2 linked regions of the Arabidopsis thaliana genome follow. The protein of the gene in region 2 interacts with the protein of the main gene of each other region in a pairwise test. Each region holds a gene or a part of one and is shown on either strand. Other genes may lie near its edges.

What was found.
Region 1: the proteins of AT2G37150 (region 2) and UBC18 interact in a two-hybrid assay, tested with the Arabidopsis thaliana proteins (one large-scale study listed by BioGRID).

What each region holds. Positions count from the first base shown.
Region 1 is NC_003076.8:17,243,462-17,247,588, forward strand, and holds UBC18 (ubiquitin-conjugating enzyme 18), read right to left. Parts: upstream 2,528-4,127; 5' UTR 2,444-2,527; coding exon 2,414-2,443; intron 2,330-2,413; coding exon 2,226-2,329; intron 2,139-2,225; coding exon 2,036-2,138; intron 1,816-2,035; coding exon 1,752-1,815; intron 1,035-1,751; coding exon 946-1,034; intron 841-945; coding exon 745-840; 3' UTR 526-744; downstream 1-525. Other genes in the region: TRX3 (thioredoxin 3), read left to right, coding at 1-12, 111-257; AT5G43000 (uncharacterized protein), read right to left, coding at 2,893-3,741. UniProt on the Arabidopsis thaliana protein: Accepts the ubiquitin from the E1 complex and catalyzes its covalent attachment to other proteins.
Region 2 is NC_003071.7:15,603,064-15,609,599, forward strand, and holds AT2G37150 (RING/U-box superfamily protein), read right to left. Parts: upstream 4,538-6,536; coding exon 4,384-4,537; exon of another isoform or gene 3,146-4,383; coding exon of another isoform or gene 3,103-3,145; exon of another isoform or gene 2,931-3,102; coding exon 2,826-2,930; intron 2,692-2,825; coding exon 1,960-2,691; intron 1,885-1,959; coding exon 1,469-1,884; intron 1,279-1,468; coding exon 1,177-1,278; intron 1,100-1,176; coding exon 962-1,099; intron 838-961; coding exon 685-837; 3' UTR 518-684; downstream 1-517. Other genes in the region: AT2G37140 (Terpenoid synthases superfamily protein), read left to right, coding at 63-266; AT2G37160 (Transducin/WD40 repeat-like superfamily protein), read left to right, coding at 5,984-6,166, 6,270-6,536.

The DNA.
Region 1 (4,127 bases), on a different chromosome or scaffold from region 2:
GACGAATTGAACGTGAGTTTCCTTCATCAATCTTACACTATCCCAATATCCAAACTTAGGGATTTTTGACTTCTCTGAGCCTTTATCTTGCTTGTTATGTTGTTGTGCAGACTGTTGCTGAGGAGTTTAAAGTTCAGGCAATGCCAACGTTTATCTTCATGAAAGAAGGAGAGATCAAGGAGACTGTGGTTGGTGCTGCTAAAGAAGAAATCATTGCCAATCTCGAGAAGCACAAGACAGTTGTTGCTGCTGCTTGATTTGCTTTTCTCTCTTACCTATTTTGCTAAAATATGTTTGGTGTTTTAATAAATCCTTTGTTCGCCCGAGTCTTTTCACCTTAAATGTGCTCTTATGTGTGGTGGTGAATAAATGTTGTTGCAAACTTGATTACTCGCAGCTATGCTAATTGTTCGTTCATGGTTATGTTTACTCTTTGGGGATTCTATTGTTATGTTAGTTTTTCAATTTTCAATTACATTACACCAACTAGTTATCAATCCAATTACATTGCCAAATACAATTTCGTTTTGCCTAAACTCTCCATGGTTTTTCACTTCAGAAAGGACAAAAGCACAAGGTGTTAATTCAGACACTGAAACATTTCAGATGTCATTTATACATAATGATCCGTTACAGAAAAAAAAGTGGGAGGCCATGAGGAATTTCAATTAGTATTATCAGTCTTGGGAAATTATATAAACCTCTTTTGTAACTGAAAGGAGAGACATCTTACGGTCGTCATCATTAAACCTTGTCGTCATGGAACCACCACCTTGTCTCTTTAGGAGACCTCCCGTTCTTGCAGTTCTTCACATATCGATCGTTATCAGTCGGGCGTTGCTGATATTGTCATCGACAATAAGACATAGTAAGAGTTGTGTGGCAGGGTCAAAAAGTTTGAATTTGTGACAACAATACAAAGTGTGAGAGATCAAATGTAGAAACCTTTTCGGGGGAACTTGATAGCATTGAGAGGATGCTGATGCAGACTGAACTCACTGTCATTGCTGGAGACCATGAGTCATACAGAATATCTACAAAAAGGAATTAGAGAGTGTGTTATATTAAGCGCATAATCCTAATGGACTTTCTCCTAAAATGAGGCCGGGTATAATCGTGATTATGTATTGTAACAAATGGTTCAGTTCCACCACGATTTCATTAGACCGGATTTAGATGCATTGAGAACAGATTTAAGAAATTTACATAAAACTTTCATGTTCTTATTGTTTAGTGAAAACAGCAAAACTAAAATGTGTTATTTGATTTTAACTCAAATGGGAGTTTCAAGTTATTTGATCAACATTCCAAAGGGAGTTTCAATATAACTAGAAATTGAGAGGCTGTTATAATCATGGATCAGATTCTGATTTTGCTAAAGAATTCACCATAGAGTCCAAAAGGGACGGTATTGGTTTTCTTTATGGCGTTGATAACACATTCACACCTAATTTCATGTCATGCGACGCTAGTATTAGGAACTCTTTAAGAATGAGACAGACTGAGAAAAAGGTTAAGACTGGTAACAATGTTGATATAATATATTAGGACTCTTAAGGGTATTGTTACTAACATTGCTTCTCTTTTCGCTACATTACATTCCGTGAACAAGAACAACCTATATATGTAAGTATCAAACAGATAAACTAATTTGATTGACACACACATGACTTGAGCTAGCATTTCAGAGAAACCAAAAAGTAAGAGCAAATGCAAAGAGTAAGTAGTGTAGAAACAATGAGTAAAATTACCTAAACAAATATGTCCATTGCTGTAAATATGAGGATGTAACGGTGCTGGTGGAACAAAAATCACCTGATCAAAAACCAAACACATGAAAATCAGAACACAGCACAAAACCAAGTAGAGAAAATGTCACTATATCTCAAACTAATTCTCTGACCTAAAACATGCAATACAACCATAAAAACACTCTGGTTTCAGTTAATTAATCCACAATTAAGAAATTTGAAATAAACCCTTAATCAAAAACAACAAATTTTTCAGAACAAAACCAACACAATGAAAAACTTGCCTGAGGAGCTTCCATAGGATAATGTTGAGGAAACTCAACCTGAAGATTATAAGTTTCATTAGCGTAAAGCGTACCAGGTGCTCCTGTTACCTCAATTACCCATCTTTAAATCACACAAAAACAAAAAAAACAATCAAAAATCGAAATGATAAATAATCAAAAAAAGGAAAGATTTTGAAATGAAAATTACTTTTGAAGATTATCAGTAACTCTGTGCTTAAACCCAGTCGGTGGATTTACTTGCCACTCTGATAACTCCTTTTGTAACCTATTACACGCGATCTTGCTTAACGCCTACACAAATCTCAAAAATTCAAAAAATCACAATCGGAGAATCAAAAAACACATAAGAAGACAAGAGTGAGAGAATCTAAGAACCTTGCGTGAAGGAGATGAAGAGCTTGTCATGGCGGAGACAAAGAGAGAGAGAGAGAGAGACGAAGACAGAGAGGTCTTGCTTAAGCTTTTGTCTGGATCTTTCTTCTTCTACTCGAATATTATTATTATTGAAAATGAAATCAAAAAGTGTAAACAAAAGGAAATAAAAATATTTTTCGGGGTGAGGAAAGGGCACACGTGAAAGAGTCAAAATTACAAAATTAACCATTTTCATCGGACGGCTATTAATCTTCCTTCGTGTTCACACGTGTCGTTTATCCTTCACTGACTCCACGGGACATTGAAGAGTCGATTTTATTTATAGATTTTTTTTTGTAACAAAGATTCTCTTACATTGTAGCTACCAAAGTCGTACGATCATAAGTACATAAGTTTTTAAGACAAAGTACATTACATTAAACATACGTCTCCATCTATATAATGTTTCAGCTTTCATTCTATAGTAGGCTTCTAATAGTTTATGGGTCATCATTTGGCCCAACATGAATAGCCACTTCTTGCTCTAGCTCAATACCATCTAGTGGGTCTTGAAGAGGCTCAACGTGAACTACCGTTTCTTGTTGTAGGTCAATACCATCTAATGGACATTGATGAGGTGCAATAATACAATCTTGTGACTCTTGATCTAGCACAATATCATCTTGAAGGTTTTGGTCTTTTCCATCTGATGGGTCATTAAGAGCCCCGATACAGTTTTGTGACTCTTGGTCCGGTCCAAGAACCCGATTGGTTTCTTGTGGGACGAGTTCTTGCTCTAGCTCAATACCATCTAGTGGCTCTTGAAGAGGCTCAACATGAACAACCATTCCTTGTTCAAGCTCAATACCATTTAATGGACCATTAAGAGGCTCAATAGAATTTCCAGACTCTTGATCCGGTCCAAGAACTCGATAGGCTTCTTGTGGGACGAGTTCGAGTCCGGCTGCGAAAAGCGGGAGCAAGACTAGATAATGTTTATGAGAAACGTAAGAGATCGTGGAACCGATGACGTGGACAATGCATAACATCAAAAGATATGCGTTTAATGTGTGCCAATAGAGGCTCCCATCGTTTGTGTAAAGCCAAAACACTCGGCCGCATCTTTGTATTTTCACTTCTTCCTCGATCAAACTTTGGATAAGATCGAGCAAAGTGAAGATTAATGTGTCGCAAGCACATACGATACCGAATATTTTGGCTAGATCTTTCTCCTTGTCGAGTAATTCTAAGACGAAGCAAAGAAACTCAACGAGGAATGCAATAGCAGAATGTGGTCGTAGACTTTGCCTAAAAACAACGAGTTTAATGACGGGAGTTAGGATCGCCATTTTCAAAATTATTACTATGTGATTAGAAAGCTCAAAATATACTATGGTATGAGGAGCTTTGAGTGAAGAACTTCGTACGGGGTGCTTTTTATAAAGACATGAAGTGGTTATTAATGAATGATTAGGGAGACAAAAGTCAAAAGTTAAGCTTGGAAAATTCCGTGCTAATCATAAAGATCTTCACTTTTCATTGCATAGGGAATCAAATAAACGTTTTAATATTTTTATGTTTGAGATCATTGCAAGTAAACTCTAGAGTAATAGATCAACTCTCTAATCATTTTAAGTGTATGATACAACGAATCCTAGCTGTTTGATGATTTACGACGTTCATGATTTCGGCATGTTAATTTTCTTTTTGAAAAAGTTGTCCTAGCTAATTTAAT
Region 2 (6,536 bases):
TCGACATAAAGAGATTATCATAGACATAACATCTTTTTGTATATATGCTCCTAAACATTAAGCAGTTCAAACTATACTCAAAGGCCAACCTTAGCTATGCAGAGTGGGCACAAGGAGACATCGTGCCTACATTCGATGAGTACTTGGAGATTGGTGGTGTTGAGGTGTCAATGTATGTAACTGTTTCATGCAGTTTTCTTGGGTTGGTACAAACTGCTAGAAGAAAAAGTTATGAGTGGCTTAAATCCAGACGGCCAAGTCAGTGAACGAAGTGTACTTGAAGTCAAGGAAGATAATATCAGGCGATATCTTATCACGGGCCACTAATGCTGGAAAAATGATAGATGTGACCTACAGGACCGGTGAAGAATTCACCCATCCACAAGGAAAATTCAAGGACTATATCATCTCTTTATTTGTCAATCTTATTTCTCTTTGAAGATGAAATACCATATAGTGTGAAGTGTTGTGTAACTATTTGCATCTGTAACAAATCCAGATTTTCCAAAGAGAGCCTTTTCCAATAATTAACATATATATTAACCCTTGAGAAAGATCCTGGACTTTCTTCTATTTACAACTATTAATCACTAAGAAAACTTAATGTTATATTCTGTCACATATTTTTCTTCCTTTCGAAAGACAAATGAATATAACATGCACACATAAAAGATAACCTATAATTTATGATGAGTTCTTAGAAGCATCAGGTAAAGCAGGGGATTTGCAAATAGGGCAAGAGTTCTTCATAGACAACCATTTCTTGATGCACCTCCCATGGTAGTCATGACCACACCCCTTAACTTCCCCTAACTCTTCTTTTTCCTTGTACTCCTCCTATTTGTTTACCAATTACCACATCACCCTTAAGTTAGCCTACTTCTAACTTTATAGACACATAATGTTTCAGACAACTAAATCTTACCAGGTTGTGAAAAAAAAAAAAAAAACTAAATCTTACCAGGCAGATTGCACATTTTCTTTGCTCCTCTGTTTGATATGATGGATAATACATTGTTGCTAACAAGCAACTGGAGATTGCGCTGTCGGATAGACCAGTGTTGACACTCCCAATCCTTTCTCCAAGATCAAGGAGTTCCTGCATATATATGTCAGTACCAAAACTTTTCGTTTTGCCTATGTGAGGCTTCAAAAGATAAGTGTTTGGCTATTAACCTCATAGCTCATGTTATCGATGTCAAGCCTCATGTCTCTGTGGTGATCAAGCATGTTTCTGGATCCGTAGTATTGTGGTTGGCGATCTTCAACCATGAATTCCTATTATTACATACACCCCAAAAAATAACAGATTACAGTTCAGCATGCAGCAGAAAATGATAAGATTGCAAATCTATATCTTAATATTCGATATGCACTGTATCATATCGGCTTGATCTTTATCTTAATACTAAATGTAATTTAGACAGACTTCCACTCTAAATAATGCATCTGTAAGGGAAATATATACCTCAGATGAAAACCGTTCGTGGAGAGCAACTTCATCGAAAGGAGGCTGAAACCTCTCATAGGAACTTCTGCGTCTCCCTGGCCGATCACCGCTACGCCATGAAATGTGTGGTGGTGGCCTTAAATGCCTAGACGGATAAGTCTCAGTGACCAAATGAGACCTGTCTCCAGAAGAAGATGCTACATGTCCCGATCGCGAACCGTGTGAAGAAGATCTATAGGTGGATGTTGACCTATGAGAGAAGCGGCTGCTGCTTGTAGATAGTGTTGAAGTTCCAGGAACCCCGTGGGAAACTGTAGGGTTTCTGTTTCCGGTAAGCTCATGGTGATGATAGCCGGAAGTATTAACAGATAAGCTGTTGACAACACTTCTTGCAGGAAGGAAATTATTTGTCTCTGGACTAAAGCCATTTATATCTGCAAAGTGGGAATTAATGTGATTATTAGAAACAAAGACGATTCAGATATCGAGACAAAGTGAACTTTGCATACCTCTAAGAACTGGGGACAATCTAGCACAGTTCCAGTCTTTATTTCCGTGAGATGTCTGACCAGGAAATTGACCTGAGCCATAATGATCAACACTGTGGTGGTGTGTAGAATGAGAATCAAGGCTCAAGCTTCTTGGCAAATTATTTCTACCTAAGCTGGTCTCTGAATCAAGTGTAGGACGACTCCGGACATTCCTTGAAGAGCTCTCTCCCCTGATCGAGAGATTATTACTTCTGTAAGTTGGGTTCATAAGCCATGGCATGTAATGAGGGTCATGATCATGCGTTATTGATTTTCCCAAGTGCAATTCCGAGGGGAAATGAGTGTCTGCAGGAGTTCTGTCACCGTGATATTGGCTTGAACTACCCATTTCATAGATGGAAGAAGGACATGGTCGTTTTCTCTTTTGTGCTCCTCTCACACTTTCCATAGATTGATGATCAACATAACTAGCATTTGACCATGTCTGGCTGTTGTAGCTTGAAGAAGATGCAAATGTCACATAATTCTCATGTGGAGCAGAGAAAGTTGGAACTGTTGAATTCACGGAAGGATCATGGGACGGCCCCGAAACCCCCGGATTGTAGTGTGGTCTCTCCACACTATGACCTGAGTCAGTATAAGCATTTGGTCCTGGAGAAGAGTTCCAATGAGAAGACACTGGCATTCCTTCATTCAACATGTTTTCTGCTGGATAAACATGTGATCTGTTCTCACTGGTCCCAGATGTTGCTGAGAAAATGTGGGATGGACAATAATTAATCAGAAATATGGAACATATTACCCTAAAACTAAACATGCATCATCAACCAAATTTCAATAAATAAAAAACAGATTAAGGAACTATAGAATGAAGGACTAATTACCTTGACTCGAATATGGATGTTCTGGGTGTGTATGATTCCAGCCTTGATCATGTTCATCATCAAAAAACTGGGATGAACCAAGAAAATGTCTGTGCCCCATTAAACCTGCACAAAAATTTCTCTCACCATTCAAAATCCCAGGAAAACATCCGCAAGCTCAGAAAAAAAAAAAATCTATAATTTCCAACCAACATAGTTTACTTTCAGTCTGATAGCCAAATTTCCCAAGTAAATATATAAGAAATCAGTCCATAGTTTCAAGCTCTAGTACCATTACCTTTGTAACATGTACCTACCATATTATATACCTCAGATCTCATGATATCATAAGCAAACAAGTTTTTGTGGACTTAGGCTCTGTGCTGCAGGAAAGTTCATGATGCTTATACATGAAAAATAAACCTTAATAGTACAGATCTTTTAGTTCATAAGAAAAACTTACATAGAAGAGTTTGTCAATAACAACAGACATACTTCTTTTAAACCAAAAGAAAAGAGAGGCAGAAAACAAGCACGGTTGGGAAACTAAGAAGCCTTTGCATTTAAAGTATCACTAAGGTTCTCGACTCTCCAAACCAGAGCCATCAAAAGTGAAGAGTAATACAAGGAGTTCATCAAATTACACACTTTCAAAAAGTCTATAGAATTTACAGAAAAGTCTATAGGAAACTGATTAGGAAATAGAAGAGGATGAAAGAATAAGGCACGATGGCAAATTATCATATACTGTATCCGCATAAAAGAGCATCAGAGCAAGTTCATGCAAAATAGGTAACACTTGATATCATCTTTTCAGTTTCTATCAATGTACTACTTCTTCGTTTATATTCAAGTAAAGGCCTTGTACATGTATTTCACTAAACTTACAACCATAGATGACATGAGCAAGAAAATTACATGGAAAATCCAATAGCAGGACTTAAGCTTAAAATATTTTTCTGAACCGAAACCCTCAAAAGTGCACCTGCAGGCAAATAATCCTAGAAGGATATAGGTTTAGAAAGTCCTAACCACGAATACACTACACTACCCAAGTGATAAAGCCGTCGTGCTTGATTGATCACTGATTCATCATTTCTGCACACCTTTAAAGTAGACCAACAGGAAGCAATTAGGCCCTTGACTTCACTAATACAATGAGAACACCAAATTCTATTCCTTCTCCTCTGATCCACAAATTGAATACACTACAGTTTCCTTAGATAAACGGATTTAGTCCACAAAAGTACTAGCCTGCAAAGGCTTACTACCTCATTTACTATTTCTGCGCTCTTATTGTCTTCAAACCCACCAGCACACCTTAATAGACTCCTGAATTCGGGCTTGTGTGAAAGGATGCTTTCTTAAAATTAGCATTATGTTTCACATCATTGTGCATCCAAATCAAATGCTTGTACGTGACAGCATGTCACTCTAGAAACCATTATATGATAGATGTAGTTTGTTAGGAAGATTGAAGTTCCCCACTCATGGATACCGTACCTCAAGCATCTTCAACTGACTAAACACACTCTGGTACACATGTGATGGCAGAGACTAGTTATGGTTATTTCCTTACCCCTATGGATCAGAATAACTTCTAGATGACTTGAGTTCAAGTTCGCTTTGCTTTCCCAATCAACCAAGAAGGTCCACAACACAATCCGCAAATCAGAATACATCAAGGATAGGCCAGCCACCAATCCTAATGGGCTAACATGAGGAACTAACATCTGTTTGAAATGTGTTATCAATGCAATTTCTTTAAGAATGATGCCATAATTTCAAAGTTTCTAAAAGTTCTCAAAGAGGAAGATGAATTCTGACCTGAAACTATAGCCGTACTAGTTCTCAAATCTTCCAAACACTTGAATCACTGATTAGGCTTTTCTCCAGTTTCTCAACTACCAGAGGTTCGTGGTGGAGAAAGGTATGATAGAACTAGAAACCACCATTGCCACTAAACCTGCAGCCTGCAGGATACAAACCAGCTAAGCCTAGGTTATGCTAATACACTATATCCCAAACTAGCTTACCCGCATCGCTGAAGTAGCAGCCTGAACAACATTATCAACAGCTAACCAAAACACAAAGCTTACAACATCTCCTCTAATCACCGAGCTGGTCTCTTCTCAGTATCGGAATCTTAAAAAGCTAACAACTACGTGAAAGAGAACAAATTCGAAGTCTGAAATTATCAGAACCGACTCCGGTTAACGGACATGATCGCGATCATACCCGAAGATTGTGGGAAAAGTCACCGATGTAGCAGCAAAACCGGGAATAAACCGGATTAAACCGAAAAAAAGAAACAATCCATCATCACACAATCACAAGAGAAAAAAGGAAACAACGATCGGCTTGTTTATACATACCAACACGAAATAATCAGCTCAACGGCGAAACAACAATAATGATCGGAGAAATGAGAAACATTACCAAAGCGTTCCGGCGATGAGAAAAGAAGACCGATCGGAGAAAAGCAAAGAGACGTATGGATTCGTATAGATGACGCAACCTTTTATGAAAAAGAGGTTTTAGAGAGAGAAATATGTTTTGAAGACAAATTGCTTTCTTTTTTGGTGATGGTTGAGCGATGAAGAGTATCGGTTTATATTTAAGAAAAATCAAATTAAAGCGGTTGAGTTACGACGTTGCCGGGACATTAATCCCTTCTCTGACCAACTTCACCGGCTACCGGTAAAACCCGTTCACTGTCTTATTGTCGACTAAACAATTTATTAATTAACTATGGTTCTTCAGTAATGGGCCTATATTTTTGGACTGTACTTGGGCCTCAGCTGTACGTATCAAAAGGGTTCGAGAAACTCAGAGATTAAAGGGATCTTGACCGTTGATCGAGATGACTTTGATTTTATCCATTAATAGTCAATTTGATTGATGAGTTAAGAGGATGATTAAGAAAGCAATAAAGGAAGCGAATCGGAATCCACATTGTATTAATCTTTTTGATCCAGTAGCCATTGGCGAATCCAGGAGTATTAAAGTTCCATTTTGATTTTGGCGACGATGATGAACAGAGTTTAGAGAAATTTGCATTGAAGAAGAGAAGATTTTTGGATTTTGTGTAGTGGGAGAAGGGTAAACCCTAGCTTGGGAGGGACATGATCGGATGCTCTAAGTAGCTTGTGAATTAGAGAAAGAGCAAGTGAGCAAATATGATGAACACTTCGAATGGGATGATCTCTGGGCCTTCTTCTTCGTCAGCTTCGGCGGCGAATCCTCAGTCTCCGGGAATCAAAACGTATTTCAAGACGCCTGAAGGAAAGTACAAGCTCCACTACGAGAAGACGCATCCCTCTGGGCTTCTTCACTACACTCATGGCAAAACCGTTACTCAGGTGAAGATTTGATTCGTTTTCTTTGGTGTTTATTTTTGAATTGAAAGTTTAATCCAATCTGATTTCTTTGCACTTGTGATTGCTATTACGAAATTGCTATTAGGTTTTGTGTAAGAATATCAAATGCACATTTCATTTTTATGTTTTGAAAGTGGTTTCTGAGAATGGATTTGTGAAATTTTGGTGTCAGGTTACTCTAGCTCACCTTAAGGATAAACCTGCTCCATCGACACCAACTGGGACCTCGTCAAGTTCCACAGCTAGTAGCGGTTTCCGGTCAGCAACAGCAAGGTTATTGGGTGGTGGGAATGGTAACCGTGCGCTTAGTTTTGTTGGAGGTAATGGAGGGGCTAAAAATGTGGGTGCAAGT